Struthio camelus: one gene and its partners. The protein of the gene in region 3 interacts with the protein of the main gene of each other region in a biochemical or structural test. Links are inferred from orthologs where the notes say so. Each region holds a gene or a part of one and is shown on either strand. Other genes may lie near its edges. The genes, in order: CFH, ficolin-2 and PTX3.

Region 1 (7,081 bases), on a different chromosome or scaffold from region 3:
CGAGTACGAACACCCAAAACTGTCAACTCTTGCATACCCCAGAGAGTGCATAACCTAGCTGATCACCTTAAAGGGGTTGACAACCACCAGTCAGATTAAACAGTAACCCAGGAGTTACAGGGAGACCTTTCAAACAAAGAAGGTCTCAATTTGGAAGGAAGTGTAAAGGGAACATGAAAATTTGTAACAGAAAGGAGAGATTTTTGAGTGCAAACAGAGCTGCAGTCAAAACCAGAGCAGTCTGGTTTTACGCTGGCAGAAGTCACCCCACTGGTATAGCGACCTCTGCCTTGACCTGGCAGAGCGTCTGCCCTCGGGCTGCACCGTGTGAGGTGAAGCAGTAGGGACCTGCGCCTGGGGTGCAGATATGTGACCTTGTGTGGTACTTTCTTTCCAGCATGTGCATTAGCAGATTGTAAGGAGCAGCATGGGTGCACATCAAGCACGCGCACCTTCAGTAGGAGGTGTAAGTATGGGAACTTGCAACCCCGGAGGAGGTGGGGGGGATGCCTGTATCCTGCATGGCCTGTGAGAGATGGAGTGGATGCTGTAACTGTGGGTGGGTGCTCATGACTTTAGGTGATTAGTACTTTGGAGGTTAGTGAGAGAGGGGTGCTTAGAATTTGAAGTTTTTTCTTAAGGCACAGTATTAGACACAAAATGTTAACCTGTTGTATTGCTTATACTGATCCAGAATCTCTGATCCTGATCCTGTTCACTGATTGCTAGTTTATTGTGTGTCGTTAATAAATCAATAAACCAGTTTGATCCTGATTTGGTTTAAGCTATGTGAACTGAGCTTTTTTTTTTCCCCCCCTGTGACACCATTAGGTGATTAGATATCGAATGATGTGTAATTTCAAGTGGTCTGCCAGTGGGAGGAAAGAAAACTATAGACAATGGAAACCATCCCACCAGTAAGATAGTGGGATAAGGCTCTTCTGTGAAGATTTTTTGAGCACCTCGATGGCAGATCCTACGATTCTATAGACCCTAATGATATCACTGGAAGTATGACAGCAAGCATGTTATCACATGCTAATAAAATTACACTGTGGTCAGAGATGCTGTGACTAAGCTCCCCTCATTAGCTATCACTAGTTGTCTCTTGGAAGACACTGACTTCCTCAGGTGTGCATTCATGTTACCAAATAGCTTCCTAACACTCTTCTCTCAGAAACATTCATGTTTGAACAAACACTTTGAATCTTAGTTTTAACTCCCAAAATTGAGTAGGGAACGACCAAGGCCCTGAGTAATGTGGTCTGACCTCATAGTTGACTCTTCTTTGTGCAGGAGGTTGGACAAGATGACCTCCCTGACATCCTTTCTGTGTGAATTTTCCTGCTTTTCTATGTTGCCTGGGCATGCAGTTTTGCTACTAGAGGAAGTATCTGGTAATATCTTGACTGTCTGATTGTGACCACCACAATGTTTGAGTACAGTTGCACCAATTCTCCTAGCAAGGAGATGGGTAAAATCTTTCTGCTTTGATATGTAAAATCCAGTTGCCTTTGACTGCATGACTACTTAGGTGTTACTGCCTTTTTTTTTTTTTTTTTTTTTTTTAAGTTGAAGGAAGGTAAGCGTACTCCAGAGATTTTTCTTCTGCCTCCCTTAGAGGTCCTGAAGCTTACCTCTTTCACTGACACCTCTTCATTAGTCTGTTTTCCTCTGCGTTCTATTTCCTTAGAGCCTGGAGATGACCATGTCATCCAGATATGTTTAAAAGAAAATCAGTTTTGAATCAGTTTACAGCCTATGGAGGATGTGAGTAGGGGAAGAAAGACTTAAGTTCCTGATTTTTATTTCCGTTTGGTTAATGTAAGTTTTGCCCCTGACTTAAGGTCAAGAACATGGGACTGGAAAGGACTGACTCTGGTCCCTGTTTTGCAACTGAAGATGGTTTTTATGTTTATATAATGCCCGTAAAAAGATTACTTCTGAGCCTCACTTCTCAGGCGATTCTTCTAATTTCCACTTTAAATTTAATTTCTAGGATGTTTATAACTATCTGCTCTCGTGTTGTGATATCTTATAGCTTAAGTGGTTTTAACATTCACTGTGTTCCAGTTTGGGTTCAGGTATAGCTGAAACTACCTTTCTTTGACTGTGGTTCAAGCCAGTAATGTTTTGACAAGTGGTTTAGTAACCCGAAAACGGTTTGAGCCAGAACTGATTTAAGCCTCATGATGTCAGCAAATACAACATTTGAAAACTGAAGAAACAATAAAAATGAGGACGTCCCTGCAACATATGTTTCTCCTGCTAATGGGTTCGAGCCACCTTCTCTTGGTTGGCACCTGAGTGCCTTCCAGCACTGCCTCAGCATTTTTGCAGCTTGGCACAGTGGTTGAGAAACTGGAAAGCAGCAGTGTCACTGCTACATTTGAAAATCAGTACTTATGCTGTGACAGGAAGGGCTAACCCATCCTCACTCCCTCCTCACTACAAGGAATCTTGCTTTTGCACTCTGCAGCCCACTGGCACAGAAGCGTGTGCACACACATACGTGCATGAGATTGCTTCAGAGAAGGACAAACAGGCGAGACTGTCCTGGTGCACTTAGAGCGCCGCTGTCTATACCAGCACATGGTTCTCTACCACAGCACAGAAGGGATCACTGACTTCGTTAGTTCTCTCCCATGAGCCGTTTGCCAAGAATTCAGCTTGGGCAGGTGTAAAAAGAGGTCTTTGCTGCTTAGATGCTCTTTACTGCCAGGAACTTCAAAATTGGTGCAGACCAATCATCACAGGGTCATGGAGCAGGGCAGGAGTTCAGTCTGTACATATGAGTCAGCTGGCAGGAGAGAAGTGAGGAGGGAAAAGCAGAGATGTGATGCTATCTGGCAGATCTGTGGCAGGTGTAAACACTGAATGTTAGTTTTCACTAAGACTTGAATTGCCCTGAGCTGGTAGTTGACAGCATAGCACAGGTACAAAAAAAAATTCAAGAAATAATTTCACTTCAGCTCCATTTTGAGAAGAAAAAAGTTCACTGCTTTGGCATTGGGGCTTGATTGGGGATCTGTTCTCTAAACAAACTCTCTTTTATCTTATTTCAGTAGATGAACTAAGCCAGTGGGCTTAAGGATATGTTTATGTAGTCTTTTGGGAACATACACAAGATTGCCGTGTGCTTGCTCTATGTCAGTCTGCCATCAGAGCTAGGGGGCATCCAGTCTGCAGATGTTTTGTGTCTGTCTCCTGAGAGCACTTTGTGCTCTTACGTTTCTCCCCAGGCCTCAGTATCAAACAATTTTCTTTGTGTAATCCACACTTGCATGGTGACTAAAGCCAAGACCTTTAATGAAAATATTAATACGATTGCTGCTAACATCAAGCCCTGGGGAGTTTCACTGTTACCCCCTACTCCCCATGCTGCCCTATAGTTCCTCTTTTAGTGCAATCTTTATTTTTTAAAACAGTTTGTTATCTGTATTGCAATTATATTCATTCTCATCTTCATCTTATGGTTTCTAATGTGAAACCAAAACAAATGGTTCAGCATAGCCTAGATTTATTTAATTTAGTACGTTTCCTTTGCTTAGGGTAATTGGATATCTTAAGCAAAATCTATAGGTTAGTAAATCACTTTGTATTTTTTCAGTCTATGTCTTGAATGACATTCGTATAGCAGCGAATTTATACACAAATAATTTTTTATTTATACACAAATAATTTTTTAGTTCCATTCATTCTTTTTAACTGAGCATATAAAACACAGGGAATTACAAAGTAATTCATCTGAGCAACTTCTTTTGGATCGCAAAAGAAATAAGCTTATCTGAGCATGAAAGAGATTAATATGAAAAAAATAGAGGCATGATGTAAAAACTAGTTGAACACAGGAAGGGGCAGTGTCAGCTGAAATCACCAGGCTTTTATTTATTTATTCATTTTAGCAAAGTTTGCATTGTGTGTCTATCCAAAAAAAAGAGAAACAGTTGTGTGTTGCAAGAGGATTAGAGGAAGTGACTGCTGAAATCAAAGTATAAATACTTTGCAAGGTCAGTCACAGGAGCAGTTACTGAGTAAAATAGGAGTGCATATAACGCAAAATAATCCAATAAGTTAGCTGCTGTTATAAATGTGCTTACTGTGTTTCTGAGTCACTAGCATGTCACTCCTGGGTTATACGGTTCTACTGTTATTTTGGATGTATTGTACTGCAGAAAGAGGTAAGTTTTTAATGTGGAAAAAAGCCTACTTTCTTATACTAGGAAAATGTAATTAAAATAATTTTTAAATGAAATATTCTGATTGTAGTTTATTTTAGTGAAGCTCTGTCAACAATAATTGGGATTTGTTCTCGCAGTACCTAGCACCTTTAGTACTTACTATGCTGCCTTAGGTATTATTTCACCTATTTATTTGGATAAAGACTGTTGCACAACTTTTTAGTAATTACTGTCCCTGTAAACTAGAATCAGATAATTCATTTTTATTATGTTTGTTTGTTAATTATTTTAACATCTAAAACCATAAATATCTATAAATGGTTGGTAGACTAAAATAACAAACACTCAATAAATGTATATTTCTTACGTCTGGGATAATCTATGAGATAATCTGAGAAAGAGAAATGATTACTAGATTGACTGAATTAAGTGTTTACAAAGTATCTGTCAATTGACATCCTTGTTTTGTTCTGTTTTTAATCCATTGCATGAGATAAGCATATACAGATACACTTTTGTCCGTGGCTAAAGAGGCATTAAGTTTTCTAGCTGCTGTTAATATTTTCCTATTCAGTGTTCAATTTCCTTTGCTTGACACACAGAGTTTATTTTTCTTTGATACTATGTTTATACTGTTTAAGCTATATGTTTAATAATTTGATTGCTGTGTTTTCTGTCAGGGATTTATGTATAGACTGTTGGAGAAAGGGTGTTGTGTGTCTTTGAGCTAGTGTGTCTTCACTTAGTTCAGATTGTTTTTTAATTTTATATGAAGGTTATGAAGACCTTATCAATCCAAGCAATCTGTTGAATTTTACTTTGCATCCTTCAGAATCGTGTAGAATTAGGCCCTTTCTTTAAGATTTTTATTCTTTTAAAATTAGCTGGTAGGAAGGAAATTTTATTTGAAAAAATCAGAAGGTTAGTGAAATGTATTACATTACATACTTGTAATACATATTGTTTCAAAGTGCCATTAATAAAGTCTCCTTTTTTTGCAAAGTAGTCTAGAAAAACTCTGGAATTTGAAAAGAAAGTTTGCCTAAATTTGCCCTCTCTTTTCACAATACTTTCTTTCTTTAGAGAGATTGCAAAGGAATGTGAATGTAGCAATATTTGATTCAGCTGGGACAACTATTACCATTGGTCATACAGGGTTCTTAGTGCACGCTTCATATGGAAAGGCGACGTGAGTTTTTTGAGAGCTGTGTTGTTGCACAGGAACTGAAAAATTCTTCGGTGAGGTGGCTTGAGAACTGGCTGGATGGCCGAGCTCAGAGGGTTGTGGTGAATGGCGCAGAGTCAAGTTGGAGGCCTGTGGCTAGTGGTGTCCCCCAGGGGTCAGTCCTGGGCCCAGTCTTGTTCAATATATTCATCAATGACCTGGAGGAAGGGACAGAGTGCACCCTCAGCAAGTTTGCTGATGATACTAAACTGGGGGGAGAGGCTAACACACCAGAAGACTGTGCTGCCATTCAGAGGGACCTGGACAGGCTGGAGAGCTGGGCGGAGAGGAACCTCCTGAAGTTCAACAAAGGCAAGTGCAAGGTCCTGCACCTAGGCAGGAATAATCCCATGCACCAGTACAGGCTGGGGACTGACCTGTTGGAAAGTAGCTCTGCCGAGAAGGACCTGGGAGTGCTGGTGGACAACAAGTTAAACATGAGCCAGCAGTGTGCCTTTGTGGCCAAGAAGGCCAATGGGATCCTAGGGTGCATTAGGCAGAGTGTTGCCAGCAGGTGGAGGGAGGTGATCCTGCCCCTCTATTCAGCCCTGGTGAGGCCTCACCTGGAGTACTGTGTCCAGTTCTGGACTCCCCAGTCCAAGAGAGACATGGCACTGCTGGAGAGAGTCCAGCGGAGGGCTACCAAGATGATTAGAGGGCTGGAGCATCTCTCCTATGAAGAAAGACTGCAAGAGCTGGGCCTGTTCAGCCTGGAGAAGGGAAGATTGAGAGGGGATCTCATCAACGTGTACAAGTATCTGAAGGGGGAGTGTCAAGAGGATGAGGCCAGCCTCTTCTCCGTGGTGCCCAGCAACAGGACAAGAGGCAATGGGCAGAAACTGAACCACAGGCAGTTCCATCTGAACCTGAGGAAAAACTTCTTCACTGTGAGGGTGACAGAGCATTGGAACAGGTTGCCCAGAGAGGTAGTGGAGTCTCCTTTGCCGGAGATATTCAAAACCCGTCTGGATGTGATCCTGGGCAATATGCTCTAGGTGACCCTGCTTGAGCAGGGAGGTTGGACTAGATGATCTCCAGAGGTCCCTTCCAACCTAAACGATTCTGTGATTCTGTGATTCTTCCTGAATTTGTAGTTTGTGTTTGGCTTTGTTGAAGTTGATACTGGTACAATGATGCTGAGAAAGCAGCTTGAGCTATTTCTAACTGAGGTCAAATCACAGAGGAAGTACTAACTGATTAATTCCAGCTATTCTGGTTTTCCACGAAGGAATTTGAAGGCATGCATTTAAACCATGCTTTCTAATATAAAAATATCAAACTCCAAATTTTGGTGGGTATGGAGATCAAAATGCATGATGTAATGAATAGCTTTGAAGTCTACCCTGTCAGAAGATTTGTTTCTCAAACTACTGAGAAACTGCATAAAAAAGGAAAAAATTAGCTGTAGTCAGGAATATGCACATACATGCTGTGACTCTTGACAGTAATGCTTGCTATAGAGAAATCACAAACCCGGACTCTAGGTCAGCAGTGGTGAAGAACGCAGAGTTGAAACGAAACCTGGAAGCAAATATGTCTTAGTAATGGTGAGGAGAGTATTAAGAGATCATCTTTTTTTAAATTTCTTTCCTTTTTTTAAATATAAACAAGACGGAGTTATGAGGCCCCATTCTACATTACTTCTGAGTTGTACTGTTTTTCTTATCTGTAAGAG
Region 2 (7,766 bases), on a different chromosome or scaffold from region 3:
CAAGAATTTCATGCACAGAAACTGGCACAGATGAGAGGTTTTTTTCCCCCCACTTAAAGCAAACCCCAAATCTGAATGAGACTGGTCTGATTACAATCCCTCTCATTTCCCTGCAGTTTTTTCAGAGAGGGGCAGGGGAAGGATGTATGTGTTTCCCTGCCTGAATTAGGTCTCAGAAGCAACAATAATCAAAGATCTACTGGTTTATTATTATTTTATACACACAAGTATATGTCTGTGTATATGTACTGACTATTTGGGGATAAGGAATTTAAGTGGCAACCAATTACTTTTCTTACCTCTCTCCTGCTTACTCCCATTTGCTTAACATTAAAGCAGGCTTTCACTTATCGTAGGAGTTTGGGCTGTAGTTTGAGATATGAGAAGGAACCCACAAAGAAAGTAAATGTGGGGAAGCTATGTTCTGCCTCTGATATCCCAATAGCTGGGAAAGACTCCAAGAAATCAGCCTCATCTGAACTGGGATGCAGCAATACAGAGAAAAAACTAAAATACTGCCCTCTGATAAAATTCATAAACTTTACGGGCTCTGTGTCTTAAGGTAACATGGGGATCAAACTCAGTCAGGCAGTTTGGACTTCACATAACTCTGCCACTGATGAGCAGAGTGCACAGCATAGCAACAGCAAAGCAAAACTGAAATTCTACTCAGTATTACAGTGAACAGGGACTGGGAAAAAAACATACATGTTCTGCCCAGCTAGCATTGCCTGGACATACAAAGCTTTAACTCTAAATTGGTCCTGGATCACCTATAAACCTCTGTTTGAAGGGCTGCAAAGTGCTGACTGGCAGGTAGAGCACTGGAGCATGAGTCAGGCAGTATAGCTTCTGCTAATGGTCTTGGCTCTCCCATCTGCAAAGTAAGATCTGCTTTTTGAGCCAGCAGTGTGCCCTTGTGGCCAAGAAGGCCAATGGTCTCCTGGGCTGCATTAGGCAGAGTGTTGCCAGCAGGTCGAGGGAGGTGATCCTGCCCCTCTACTCAGCTCTGGTGAGGCCTCACCTGGAGTACTGTGTCCAGTTCTGGGCTCCCCAGTACAAGAGAGACATGGCACTCCTGGAGAGAGTCCAGCGGAGGGCTACCAAGATGATTAGAGGGCTGGAGCATCTCTCCTATGAAGAAAGACTGCAAGAGCTGGGCCTGTTCAGCCTGGAGAAGAGAAGATTGAGAGGGGATCTCATCAATGTGTACAAGTATCTGAGGATGAGGCCAGCTTCTTCTCCGTGGTGCCCAGCAACAGGACAAGAGGCAATGGGCAGAAACTGAACCACAGGAAGTTCCATCTGAACCTGAGGAAAAACTTCTTGACTGTGAGGGTGACAGAGCATTGGAACAGGTTGCCCAGAGAGGTGGTGGAGTCTCCATCGCTGGAGATATTCAAAAGCCATCTGGATGTGATCCTGGGCAATATGCTCTAGGTGACCCTGCTTGAACAGGGAGGTTGGACTAGATGATCTCCAGAGGTCCCTTCCAACCTAAACGATTCTGTGATTCTGTGATTCTGTCATTCTGTGAAAGTGCCACTAACAGGCAGCAGCATAAGAGCTGTCTACTTTAACCAAATGTATGTTTTCACTAGTTCATTTCCTCTGGAAACAAAATAAGGGAGGGGAAAGACACCTGAAGTCTGCTAAGGCCCTATGAGGGGTTAGCTGGAACAGCCAGGCAGGAACTTTCCCCATCAGACTTTTGGGAAATGGCTTATGTGGGAAACAGCTTCCCAAGAACTCGCCAGACTCCCAGCTTTGATGGGCAGGTGGTGGGAAAGTGCAGAGGTGGAGCTTAGTGCTAGATTTTTTTTTGTGCTCGATATAAGAGGCTTAGATGGGTCAACTGCTAACCACAGCGCCTGGGACATGGAAGAGGGGAGCTGAGCAGAGAGCACAGACAGCGCTGGCCATGGGGAGGACAGCCCCAACCCTCCTTGCTCTGCTCAGCCTAACAGTGATGGTTTCTGATGCCCAGGACTCCTGCCCAGGTGAGTGCGGCACAAATCCCACTGTCTCCCTGAGGAGGCACTCTGCTTCATCCTCTAGCTCTGTAACACAAGAGCCATAAAAAAGAGCTTGGAGGTGAATTATTTTCCTTCCATGCATCATTTTAATTCAGCTGCAGGTGGGAGGAGGGCAAGAGAAGATGAAGTCCCAGCAGCCATCCCACCCCAACCTGGGGTGCCTTGCCCCAGTTACTGAACGATGCAGAGCAATATAATGGAGTGTTTCAGTGCTCACTGGGTGTCAGACAATCTGGCAGCTTGGGGACACTACCTAAAGTAGCTTTCTGTCCATATTCTCTAGGAGGGTGGTAGCAGCAACTCCAAACTGAGCTGGTGTCAGGAAATTTGGCAGAGCCTTTAATGCTCACAAATCTGTCAATGCTACATAGTCTCTGCTGTCAATATCCCACATGGCATCTCTTGACTTTTGTTTTATTAAACTATAGTGCATTTCTCATGCATGTGATGTCATATATATAGCATCCTCTCAGACTGAACTCCTCTGAAGCTGCAGATATTCTGTGTTGGTATAAAATTCCTCCCCTACATGCACCTCAAGCTGGATCCTCACAGACATTAATACAGGCTGTTGCCAAAGCTACACCTCAGCCATGCAGGGACAAAAATGTGGCAGGAGTATTACATCAGGTATCATATAGCAGGGGTCAGCCATGCCAGGAGCAGGTAGATGAGGGGAGAGTAGTGAATGTTGTCTACCTGGACTTCAGTAAGGTGTTTGACACAGCCTCCCATCACATCTTCATAGGTAAGCTGATGAAGTGCAGGCTAGATGAGCAGACAGCGAGGTGAATTCAAAACTGGCTGAACAGACAAGTTCAGAGGGTTGTGGTCATTGGCACAAAGTCTAGCTGGAGGCCTGTCACTAGTGACGTACCCCAGGGGTCAATACTGTGTCCAATACTGTTCAGTTTATTCATCAGTGACCTGGATGAAGGGACAGAGTGCACCCTCAGCAAGTTTGCTGATGATACAAAAGTGGGAGGAGTGGATGATACGCCAGAAGGCCGTGCCGCCATTCAGAGGGACCTGGAGAGGCTGGAGAGCTGGGCGGAGAGGAACCTCATGAAGGTCAACAAAGGGAAGGGCAGGGTCCTGCCCCTGGGGAGGAATAACGCCATCCAGGCCCCAGTACAGGCTGGGGGCTGACCTGCTGGAAAGCAGCCCTGCAGAGAAGGACCTGGGTGTCCTGGTGGACAACAAGTTGAGCATGAGCCATCAATGTGCCCTCGTGGCCGGGAAGACCAGTGGTCTCCTGGGGTGCATTAGGCAGAGTGTGGCCAGCAGGTCGAGGGAGGTGATCCTCCCCCTCTGCTCAGCCCTAGTGAGGCCACACGTGGAGTGCTGTGTCCATTTCTGGCCTCCCCGGTACAAGAGAGACATGGGCAAAGTGGATTGAGTCCAGCAAAGAGCTGCTAAGATGATGAAGGGATTGGAGCATCTTTCATAGGAGGAAAGGCTGAGAGTGCTGTGCCTGTTGAGCCCGGAGAAGAGAAGACTCAGAAGGCTCATCTTTTCAATATGTATAAACTTCTGAAGGGAGGGTGTGAAGAGGATGGGGCCAGACTCTTCTCAGTGGTGCCCAGTGATAGGATGAAAGGCAACAGGCACAAACTACAACACAGGAAGTTTAGTCTGAACACAAGAAAAAAAACATTTCACTGTGAGTGTGACTGGGCACTGACACAGGTTGCCCAGAGAGGTTGTGGAGCCTCCATCCTTGGAGAAGTTCAAAAGCCACCTGGACATGGTCCTGCACAACGTGCTGTAGGTGACTCTGCTTGAGCAGGGGGCCTGGACTAGATGATCTCCAGAGGTCCCTTCCAACCTCAACCATTCTGTGATTCTGTGAGTGCTGTGCCAGAATGGGAATCACAGAATCACACAGGTTGGAAGGGACTTTAGAGGTCTCAAGTCCAAGCCTCCCTGCCCCAGGCACAATTAATTTATATCATGAACCTCGGGGTTGTTGTTGAATTTGATTTTGAATGGATGGAGAACCCACCACCTCTGTGGGTCCCTGGTTCCCTTTTCCACCCTCAGGGTAGAAAAAGAATTTTCTGAAAGATTTGATCAGAATTTCCCAAGTTGTAGCTTGTGCCCATTGCTTCTCTTCCAGTCACTATGCGCTTCTGAGAAGAATCTGGCTCCGTCTTCTCCACAACTCATTAGGCATTTGTAGATAGAAAGAAGGTCTGTCCCAGTCCATAGCAGAGGAGCGCCCGCATCAATTAAAGAGCATTTTGGAAAACTGATTATTCTCCTCGCGACTTAGCAAATATAGAAGAATTGGGTTCATTTAGGGAGTATAGGGTTACAATACTCAGATCAATGGATTTACAAATGATATAACTTTACTAATTTCAGTTAAACAATCAATGCAAACATACAGGAACTGTGTACAGTGGTAAACAATCAAGACGAACACACAGTAACTATATACAATGGTATTTAGTGGACGCTCCCAGGAAAAAAAAAAACAACAAGGCAAATAAGGTTCCACAGTAAATAAAATTATGAATGATAATGATGCGTCTATTAAAAAAAAAAGAGAGAAGGTGTGCGGGGGGGGGTGGGGGGTGGGGGTGGGAGGATTGCCCTGATCAGGCAGGCCTGCCGATCCCTGGGAACAAAGCCCATAGAAGTGATCTAGCCATACCCGGAGGTGGGGGTGGGGGGTGGTTTGCTGATCCTCAGTAGAAAACTGTGTTTGGGTACAACCCGTATTTGCAATTCGGCCACACCAATGGGGTATGCCGATCCCCAGGAACAAAGCCCGTAGTGGTGAACTCACAACACCTCGTGCAGCTGCTCAGGAGTGGCAAACTCCAGTGGGCTTGTCCTGGTCCGGCATCCCATAGCAGGAGGGAGTGGTGGGGGGAGGCACTGAAGGAGCACTGGTCTTCCTATCCGGTGCTTTTGCTCCTGACGAAGGCTGTCCCGCAGCCGTGCTCCTTGCTTCTTCTCTTTCTTCTGTTACCACCACCAACCCCAGCAGCCCCCAAAAGCCCCACCCATAGCACCAGCAGCCACCTTTTATAGCCAAGGCCCAATTGTGGGCATAGTCATGCTGAGCCTGGTTTCTGCCTCCCTTCTGGAAAGTTCCCTGTGATGGACAGCCAGGGACCCTAGTGTTTAAATGGACACTGGTGGGAATCCCGATCAGGGCTGGGCAGTCTGATGGGGGTCAAATAAAGGGTAACTGCAAACTCCAACATAGGTCTCCCCTTCACCATCTCTTCTGCAGGTTCAATGACCTGCAGGTTGAAAGAGGGTCTCCCAGACCCTCCTCACGTGCCATGTGCTCCAGCACCATGACCATCTTCATGGGCTCTTTTGGATTTGATCCAGTTTATCAACATCTTTTTTGTACTAGGGGCCCCAAAACAGACCCAGTGCTCCAGATGTGGTCTCATAAGAGCTGAATTAGGTGGAAATAGTGACCTCCCTCAAGGTATTAGCTATACCTCCATGTGTTGTTGGCCACCTTTGCTGCAATGGTACACTGCCGACTGAGATTCAGCTTTTTGCCCTCTGGACACCCAGGGCCCTTTCTGCAAAGTTGCTTTCTAGGCAGCTAGCCCTTGGTACATGTCCTCTTAGCCCATCCCAGGGCAGGACTTTGCATTTGCCATAGTTGAATTAAGTGAGGTTTGTGTCATCCCATTTCTCTGGCCTTTCGCAGTCCCTCTGAATGGTTGCTCTGCCCTCCAATGTATCAGTCCCTCAAGTTTGGTATCATCTGTGAACTTACTGAGAATGCGCTGCATCCCATATACAGGTTGTTAATACAGACATTAAACAGTGTTAGCCCCAGCATAAATCCCTGAGGAATGCCAATATTAGCCGCGTGCCAGGTGGACTTTGAATGTCTGCCTCCATTCTTCAAGCCCAGTTCCCTCCACCCACCCCGCCCTTCAGTCTGTATATCCAAGCCACATCTCACCATTTTGATTACAAGGATGCTATGGGAAGCTGTGTCAACAGCCTTGCTAAAATTACAGTAAATAACATCTGCTGCTCTTCCCTTCTCCACAGAGCCAGAGCAATAATGTCTTCTTTTAAAGAAGGCAAACATGTTGTTCAGGCATAATTTGCCCTTGGTAAATCCATGCTGGCTGTTCCCAATCCTCTTCTTGTCTTCGTACACTTTGAAATGACTTCTAGAAAGGATTTTTCTACCACGTATCTAGTGGCCAAGGTTAGGCGGACTAGCCTGTAATTTCCTAGGTCTTCCTTCTTGCCCTTCTTGAAAATGATTTTGACATTTGCCTTTTCCCAGTCATCAGAAACATCCCTGATTTCCATGACCTGATGAAGAGGGTAGAGAGCCTCACAATGACATCTGCCAGCTCTCTCAGCACCCTTGGGTACATCAAATCTGGTCCTGGGGACTTGTGTATGTCCAACTTACTTGAGGGATCCTTAGCTCAGTCTTAGTGGACTGTAGCCAATATTTTGCTCCCACTGACTCTGTACAGGGACAGACACTGGAATATGGGAGTGTCCCTATGGGAGTGTATGGGAATATGGCAAACCCTGCCATTGAAAAACAAGACAAAAATGGCCTTTTCAAGTTCTTTGGCACTAGGCATACTGCCCCACTGAGCAGTGGGACCACATTTTTCTTACACTTCCTTTTGCAGCTGATGTACATACAGAAGCCTTTTTGGTGTCCTTCATATCCCTCACTAGTTACAGCTCCAGCTGAGCTCTGGACTTCCTAACACCATCCCATAACACCATGTTTCTCTGTTCCTCTGGGTGCTTGTCCTGCTCCCATCTTCTGGGCACTCCTTTTGCATTTGAGCCCTCTGTTGGCTTCCTGCCATGCATGTCCAACAACATGCATGTTGCAGTGGACCATTTTTGTACTTTGAGGAGGTTGTCCCTGAAGGTCAACCAGTTCTTCTAACACAAATGCTGTCACAGCAGTAAAGCCACACATCCTACAGATCCTACTACCCTCAAGACACAAGAAGCTATTCCATTTTATCTGCACCTGCGCTTTGGGACAGGGAGCTTGCTGGTGTGATCACCTTTCTTGTACCTCTGCCAGTGCGTCAGTGCTGATAGAAATCCCTGTCAGGCAGTGCCCATAGGTATTTTACAGGCATGCCATAAAGTCTGCCTTCTTTTGACCATCTTGATAGTACTGATCGTCCCAGGGAGTTTGGGTGGTATCCAATAACATAATTGAGAAGGTGGAAAACCCTGGCACAAAGGCTTCTTGTAGATGATTTAATAAACCTGGTGCCTTTTACCTTTCAAAGATACTGTTCAAAATAATTAAACTATGGTAAGATTACTGGCCACTTTTGCGGAAGGAAAACAGGGTTATCAACTGCAGAAGGTATCCAAAGAACACACAAGGAACATATAGCTTGTTCCTATTGATATGAAAAGAAAATATGATGTTAGCAGAAATCAGACTTGACACTGAAGTCAGTGGAGCTGCACCAATAAAAGTGAAAGTAGAATTTGTTCTGGTAGTTTGCAAGTGTTTGTTCGGCAGAGAAAAGCTGTTCATTTCTGTTCTGTGCAGCACCTAGAACAGAGAGTTCCACACCCAGATATGGGTGGCTAGGACTGATTTCAGATTTGGGATAGGGAGTTTGCTCCCTGAATTACTGATTTCAGAATCAGTAATTTTTGTAGAAATAAAACAGTAGAAGAGGAAAAAGATACAGTAGAGTTGCCCAAATTCTGCTTTGCACCTTTGCCCAGCTC
Region 3 (7,233 bases):
CAGACAAAGATATGCAAAACCCTCTCTCACACATTTTCTTAAGATGTCTGTGCGTAATTCAATTTGAAACCCAGGCTCATACTAAAATATATAACTTCACATTGCTGTACATGCCTGCCTCAATGCATTTAAGTTTCACTTGAACAACATATGGAAAACATCTGCCTAGTGCTGTGTAGTACCGATCCTTTTTGTAAACCCTTGAAAGTCCTTACAGTCTCTCTGGATTTGGTTTCCAATAGGAACAAGCACTCTGGCCTGCTGCTTTTTCTCCCATTTAAAATTAGAGCCCTGTAATTTTGGAAGATAAACAGGTCACTTAATGGATGGTAGAAAAAGAATATTGGGGTCAAACTCGACCACATCAAGCTCAGGCCAGATACAAAAAACCACCCCAAGACACCATTAGGTCTTGCAACACCTTCTCTGGGCCAAGTAACTAAAATATAATTCTTACCAGGTTCAGAAAACTTTTAGTCAAATCAGCGTATAATGATCCTCGAGGAGTCCTTGTACTTGGAGAGAATGCCTCTGCACCATTTATTCAGCCAGGCTTTCGCATCCTATTCCGAAGCATTTATTCTGCTTGAACAATCTTTGGCTTCTTCTTGAAGGCAGCTCCAAGCCCCCTCCATACCATCAGTGCAGCAATAAAGGCCACGGCGAGGTTCAGATCCTACCATTGTTCACATGGACGTGGAGAATTTCTGTATTGCTCTAGTCCATAAATACTTGTGCGTTGTACAACCGTTGTTTTCCATAAGTGAAACCCCTGCTTGGGATCTCCTTTTCCCCTGAAGTGCAATGCCTAAACTAGAGTACCCCAACTTATGCTACAACAAGAACGGCTTCGTGCGAGTGTGAATGCATGCCCAGTTTGCAACGCAAACCGGCAACTTTCAGCGTGAAAGCACAAAGGCCAGTTGCAAAGAAGATATCTGCTGATGAATTGCCCTAAACAGCTTACCAAGCAGTTCAGTTCAGCTAGCTTCCATCCCACATTCTTAGCGCAAATCTCTTCTTGATGTTAACAGAAGACTAAACGTTTTCAGGGGCGTGAGTGTCACCAGTGTACTGTGGGATTCATGCTCCTAAATCCCAGAGGTTCTTTGGAAAATCCCACCGACTGACTTGGACGTGCAGCTTCCGGGTCCTTTCTCAATGAGCAGGGTAACAGCAACAGCTGATGTCGCACAGCTAAATACCAGGCAAGGCAATATTTATGACAGCCCTGGAGTTACACGACAGTCTAGCAGAGCACCAATTACTCAGAGTTTAACAAAATGATGAGAAGACATATTTACTTAACATTTTCTAGACTAATATCTTAGTTTGAAATGGAACAATTTTATAACTGACTACACTAAAAATTATTTCCTTCTCCAGATCATTTAGGGCTTACAGCCCTTCATTCTCTGTGCTTGCACCCCTGTTGGTTTCAAGTGGAAGTTTTCTGCACATACAGAATAGAACCCTTAAACTCTGGCCAAATTTCAGCAATGGTAACAACTGCAAAAGACAAAATTCCCATGTTCCCAGACAAGCAAAATTCATCTCAAGGGAAAGAGTAAAGACTAGCAGCACTAAAGGAGGAATAACAAACACCAACCTGAGACATGCTATTGCCTAAATTAGGTTATCATGCATGGTAAGATGTCAGCTCTGGAAATTAACAGCAATTATTCCATCTAAGAAAATATCCATTTCAAATATCAGATGTGTTACAGGAGTAGCATAATTTCACATAACATGATGGATTGGAGCCATGAATCTTCTCTGAACAAAAATACATTGCACAAATGTAAATGGACACAGCAAACGTTACTGGGTTTATATTCACCGACCACAATAAAAGAACAGCAAGGGCAAATTCGAAGCAGCCGCAGTGCTTCTGAATGATATTTAAATGCTCTCACTGACTTGGAATTCCTTTTAATTGAACAACCTGTATACGTGAACTCGTAAACAATCCCAGCAGACAACACAGATCCTGTCTGTTCTTCTTGCAATTTAAAGTCATGAAACAATCCAATTCCTTGTTTTCTCAGATTTTCACATCTTGAATTAGCTCTAAGTACATTGTGCCATGTGTTTGGCATATATCTTTTCAATTTCTAAGCGATTTCTGCATGCGTAGTTCAGCAGCCTCTGCTTTCCTTGGCGCTCAGGCTAGCCAAGGCGATACTGTGCCCACTCCTGAGTCATTTGGTTCTGTTCCATCTCGCTTTGTCTGTCTCAGCCTAAACTACGAGCCTGAAAGCGTGTTTGTCATCTGAAAATGGAAAAACCTTCTTAATTACCTCCTCTCCCTCTTCCTCCCCCTACTACCCTTATGCCCAATGCATTCCAGATTAGATTTTCCCAGAATTTCCAAGCAGACCACACAGTGACAACTATGCAACTCACTCAGAAACTAACACACAGTTGGGTGCGTTTGATGGCTTTGCACCGCTGGCTCCAGGGCAGACAGGGAAGAGGCCCAAAAGCAGGAGTAACCCCAGGTATGTGCTCGGAGTGCTCTGCGCTGGCCCGGCTCTCCTGGCTGGCCTCGGACCGTGCCCCCACCCTCCCCTTGTCCGTTCTCCCTTTACATGTTAAGGGCAGCAAGGGTTGCCCTGTGCTTGGTTTCTGCTCTGTCCAATCCTTGGTCCTACGCAGTGATGTTGTAAAACAAGGAACCTGGCAGCACACTGCAAACCTAACATGGACAGAAAGAGTTCTGCACAGTGGTATTTTGACATTCACTCTATATTAAACTGAGTATTTTAAGTTCAACCATTAAGACCAAAGTTGTCGCTCAGTTTAGCCACTTGCATCCCCGTGCAGGCAGAGCACTCTGAAAACGTTGACCTCTACGTTATACCCTGTTACCTGGGGGTTCATAAGTTATTGCTTTGATATTATTACTTATATTTGCAGGAAAGCAGGCAGAGGCCCCATTGCAGTAGGAACTGCACAGGTAGCTCAGGTTTGCACAGTGCAAGCCGGGTGTCAGGAGGAGTCGAGCTGTAGCAACACCAAACTCTCGGCAGGCTGAACACTGCCTCGTGGAGCAGTGGATCTGCTCTGGGGCAAGGGCACCCAAGGGCACCCCAGGGTGTTTTGTGCAGCTGCATCTCTCCCCCCCCCCCCCCCCCCATGGCCCAGGCGCCAGGAGCTGCCGTGGACGGCGGCAGAATGAGCAAGACCTGAATGGAAGCACGGGACCCTCTTTATGCAGCACCCGTTATTCCTGTATGCCATGTGTATGAGGGTAAGTCACTAAACTACACGTTCTCGCACAGAAAGGGGATGCAGAATACCCAGCAGATAGTTACATGTTTTCTCTATATTCCAAATACTTTATAGTGAATATATAATTTGTGTCATTGCTTTATTACCTTTAATCTCACCCAAGCAATGCATCCTGAAATAATCAATAGCTCATTGAGCTTTCAAAAATTAAAACAGAAACTGTGTAGTTTAGATAAAATTCAACAATAACAATAATATTTAGCACTAGATTAACGCTTAATCCAAGGGTGCCTCATTTTGTTTTCAAGTTAACTGAAACAAATCTAATTGTCCAGCTGCTAATTTTTTGGCCTCTGAAACAAGATACTAATAGTAACGCATTATCCGGAGTTAGAATGTTATTATCGGGAATTAGAGCTAAAAACTGTAAAAATAAAATCCTAATAAGTCATCTTTATTTTCTGAGTTTTCTTCAATTGCTGAAAGCAGTAAAAACTTCTATGGTACTAGCAATTTAAATATAACTATCAGTGAAGCTACAATGTTCAGGTTAAACCATACATATGTACTAAAACCAATTTCACATATAGTTATTTTTCTACCACTCCTTTCCAGAGCCCTGGCATATATCAGCGGTAAAACAAGTTTGCAGAGAACACTTTCCTTTTCCACAAAGGATAGAAAATAGCATATCCGGCGTGCGCTGTGCTTTTAGGCAGCCAACTCCGAGTGATTTCATCCCGTTGTTCTCACCCTCACATCACTGCACGTTACAGCAATCTGCTCTTGGAGGGAAAGTCACAGTTTGCAAAAGCAAGCCTTCCCCGCTTCTTCCCCTCCTGTAATCAGTACATCTTCCCCCAGTGCAAACCTTGAAGGCTGAGATTGAGCAAGTTGCACGCCCCCTTCTACTCCCATCCAACAACAACAATCAGAAGTGCTCTTATTACACCACTGGCACTAGCACTACTCATTCATTCAAGCTGAGGCACTCGCAGCATTTATTAGGGGCTCTCTGCCTCTCACTCCGAGTCTTGTCTCCGCTCAAGACCTTCAGCTCCAGGCAGCGCAGATACTTTTAGGAAACAGCTGGAGAATGCTGCCTCAAGAAATGCTTTCCTTGCTCATACTGTTTTGTGTTTTCAGGGCTCCTGTTTCTGCTCTGGATGAAGATGATGACTATAATCTCATGTATGTGAATATGGATAATGAAATTGAAGGTCCAGTTCTTGGTACTGAGGAAAGTAAGTAGATTTAAACCAGCTTTCTCTTATTAAGCACAGAATTGTCTTCTTTGCTGCTTAGCTCTTGTAACAGTTATTATACGCATTACTTTTTTAAAAAGGAAGAAGCACGTACAAGTAGATTGTTATAGATAGCAAACGTCAGAGTACTTCAACAGTGTCCCTTGGAATTTGCTTTATGCTACTTATTTTTCAGTTTTCCCAGGAAATACTGGGGATGACACTAAGTTTTAGATTTGCTATAATACTCATTGCTTTACCTTTCTCTTTTAATAGGGGGAAACACACTGGTAGTTTGGAGCACATAAACTTTAGAGAGACAGATTTTGTTAAATAACTCTTCTGCTTAAAAACCTAAGTACAAAGGAATAGCAACATCTGTATCTTGTATTTCAGCTGCTTCATGTGACTGTCAGCGAGAACACACAGAATGGGACAAGCTCTTCATCATGCTTGAGAACTCACAGATGAAGGAGAACATGATGCTCCAGGCTATCGATGAGATCCTGAAGGTGGAACTACAGACCGTGCAAGCAGAGCTGAGCCAGCTCGCAGCCAACTTTGCTAGCACGTACGCCACAGCAGTTGAGAAAGTCACTTCCCACATTGTGTCACAGGTAGAGCAGGCACTTGTGAGGAACAGCGAACAAGCTCAGGAAGGAAAGACGCTTCACGAATCTGAGCAAGGCAAGATCCTTGAACACGTGCTGTTACTGAGCCACAATGTGTCCAACAGACTCAGTCAGCTGGAGAGCGTTTGGCAGAGCAGATCTGAGGCGGAGGTTCAAGAGACAGCTTTTCAGCAGCAGGATAAATTCGGTCACACCGCAGGAGACAATTTCATTTTGAACTCTCTCTGGAAAGAACTACAGCAAACCAGAGCTGAACTGAAGGTATCTCAAAAATGGGCAGCTCAGCACTTACTGCCGGCAGGTAAGTCCAGTGCATGACGTTTTGCTGGAGAACTCTCTTCTGTGGGCCTGTCCAAGCAGACATACTGCAAACACTTCTTTCCTTTGTATATAACTCCAAAGGAATCCTATGAATGGTACAGCAGTTTTGAGCAGTCTGTATACACCAGGAGGAGATCCATTAACTTTTCCCTAGAGAGAACCACTGAGCTTTTGAAACGTGGAATCAAGGAAGGATCTAATCAAAGTCCTTCCACAGGGTAAACCAGCCCCTCAGCCAGGATTCTGACTCCTGGACAATCTCCCAGATTCAAACTGTAGCCAAAGAACAGCAAACATATTTTAAACAGACTAACATGCAAAATATGTTCTCTCACCTTTTACCTTTCCAGCTGGTAAGTCCCACACATACTCATTAATCACTGAAGTCTGTTGCTCTCGCCATATACATACCAGCTCCTTCCTTCTACCCTAGCCACTGCCGCCTTCTCACCAACTCTGACTGCTTAGGACCAGATCTAGATCTGAGGACCTGCTGCTGCTGTCAACCAGCAACAGCTGATCACATTTCCTGTGTCCAGGAGGACACATTTTGCTGCATGCAACTGTCAGGATGCAATAGCTTCCCCCAACCATGGAAAAACTAGTTACATTGCCCAACATTTTTTTTTCCTGTCCTTCTGAAGCGTTTCTATTGGTCAGCAAGTGAGGTGGCTGTAGAAGGATGAGCTCATATCTCAAATTTCTTTTCAATTTTTGTGTGCTGTAATATGATACCCAGCCAAAGCAACTACAGAAACTTATGGATGACAGAACAGGCCCCAATCTATATAAAAGCGTTCACGTAGCAATTTTGCACCCACAATATAACTATGATGTATACAGCTCTACCTACTGGATAGCTATCGTTGCATGATTTCTCAGTGGTATTGATACATCTTTAATGATCACGTTTCCCACAAAAAATTACTGCAGCTAAGAAAAAAAAAACCCAAATCCCCCCCTAAAATCTACCCTTACAGAATCTGCAGCTGTGTGCACAGATAGGAAGCTAGGGGTGCAGTTATGCCAGGCTTGTCAGCAACTCCCTAGCAGCACTGCAGACAGGTTCTTACACAGGGGAGCAAGCAGGCACGCTTCTTACAGTGGCAAAGAGTAAAAGCAATAACTTCCACAAGGCTGTTAAAATACAAACACAACAATACTTAACATCAAAGCATTTTACAAGCTAAGACAAAAATCTATACTTTGGAGGTAGAACGTGAATTCAGCTTTATAAGCAAGAATAGATTGCTTTTACTCTTTTTTTAATTGTAGCATTTTAGTAATCTTTGTGTACTGGGAGTAGGTCATACAGCATATTCCTTTTACCACAGACAAGGATTTTGCCTTCCAAAAGTCATTATCTCATTCTTCGCCTCTCTCCTGTAACATGACAAACCTCTCCGTTAGTATGCACTAGGTGAGAGTAAACTCGACCTGCATTAAGCATGGTCTTCTGATCTCAGTCTCATCAGTGGAAATCCAGATTAACTCCACTGCTTTTACTGAATTTAATCCTGATTTACACTGCATAAGAAAGATCAGTATCTGTCTCTACATGGTTTTATAAGAAAAAAATATATGAAATTTTTTTCTTTTTAGAGATTCATTTTAAATACTTCCAGGGTGTCTCTGGAAATTTTTTTCCAGGGAGTTTTTAGCAACTGCCTTTAATTTCTCACATCCTGAACTACTGCCAGACATCTCTTGAGGGATTTTCTAATCACATTTTTTGGTCTTCAGTGAGGCTGTTTTTAATTTTGTTTAGTCCTTGATAATAAAGCCAGAAAGCTTGCTAATTA

What was found.
Region 1: the proteins of PTX3 (region 3) and CFH form a complex in vitro, tested with the Homo sapiens proteins (3 studies listed by IntAct, with this or other methods). The link is inferred for Struthio camelus from reciprocal best matches to the Homo sapiens genes PTX3 and CFH.
Region 2: the proteins of PTX3 (region 3) and ficolin-2 interact in a biophysical measurement, tested with the Homo sapiens proteins (2 studies listed by IntAct, with this or other methods). The link is inferred for Struthio camelus from reciprocal best matches to the Homo sapiens genes PTX3 and FCN2.

The regions. Positions count from the first base shown.
Region 1 is NC_090949.1:11,594,451-11,601,531, forward strand, and holds the start of CFH (complement factor H), read left to right. Parts: upstream 1-4,019; 5' UTR 4,020-4,120; coding exon 4,121-4,181; intron 4,182-7,081. UniProt on the Homo sapiens protein: Glycoprotein that plays an essential role in maintaining a well-balanced immune response by modulating complement activation.
Region 2 is NC_090961.1:13,931,440-13,939,205, reverse strand, and holds the start of ficolin-2, read left to right. Parts: upstream 1-4,719; 5' UTR 4,720-7,766.
Region 3 is NC_090950.1:32,021,464-32,028,696, reverse strand, and holds the start of PTX3 (pentraxin-related protein PTX3), read left to right. Parts: upstream 1-4,187; 5' UTR 4,188-4,330; coding exon 4,331-4,478; intron 4,479-4,874; coding exon 4,875-5,411; intron 5,412-7,233.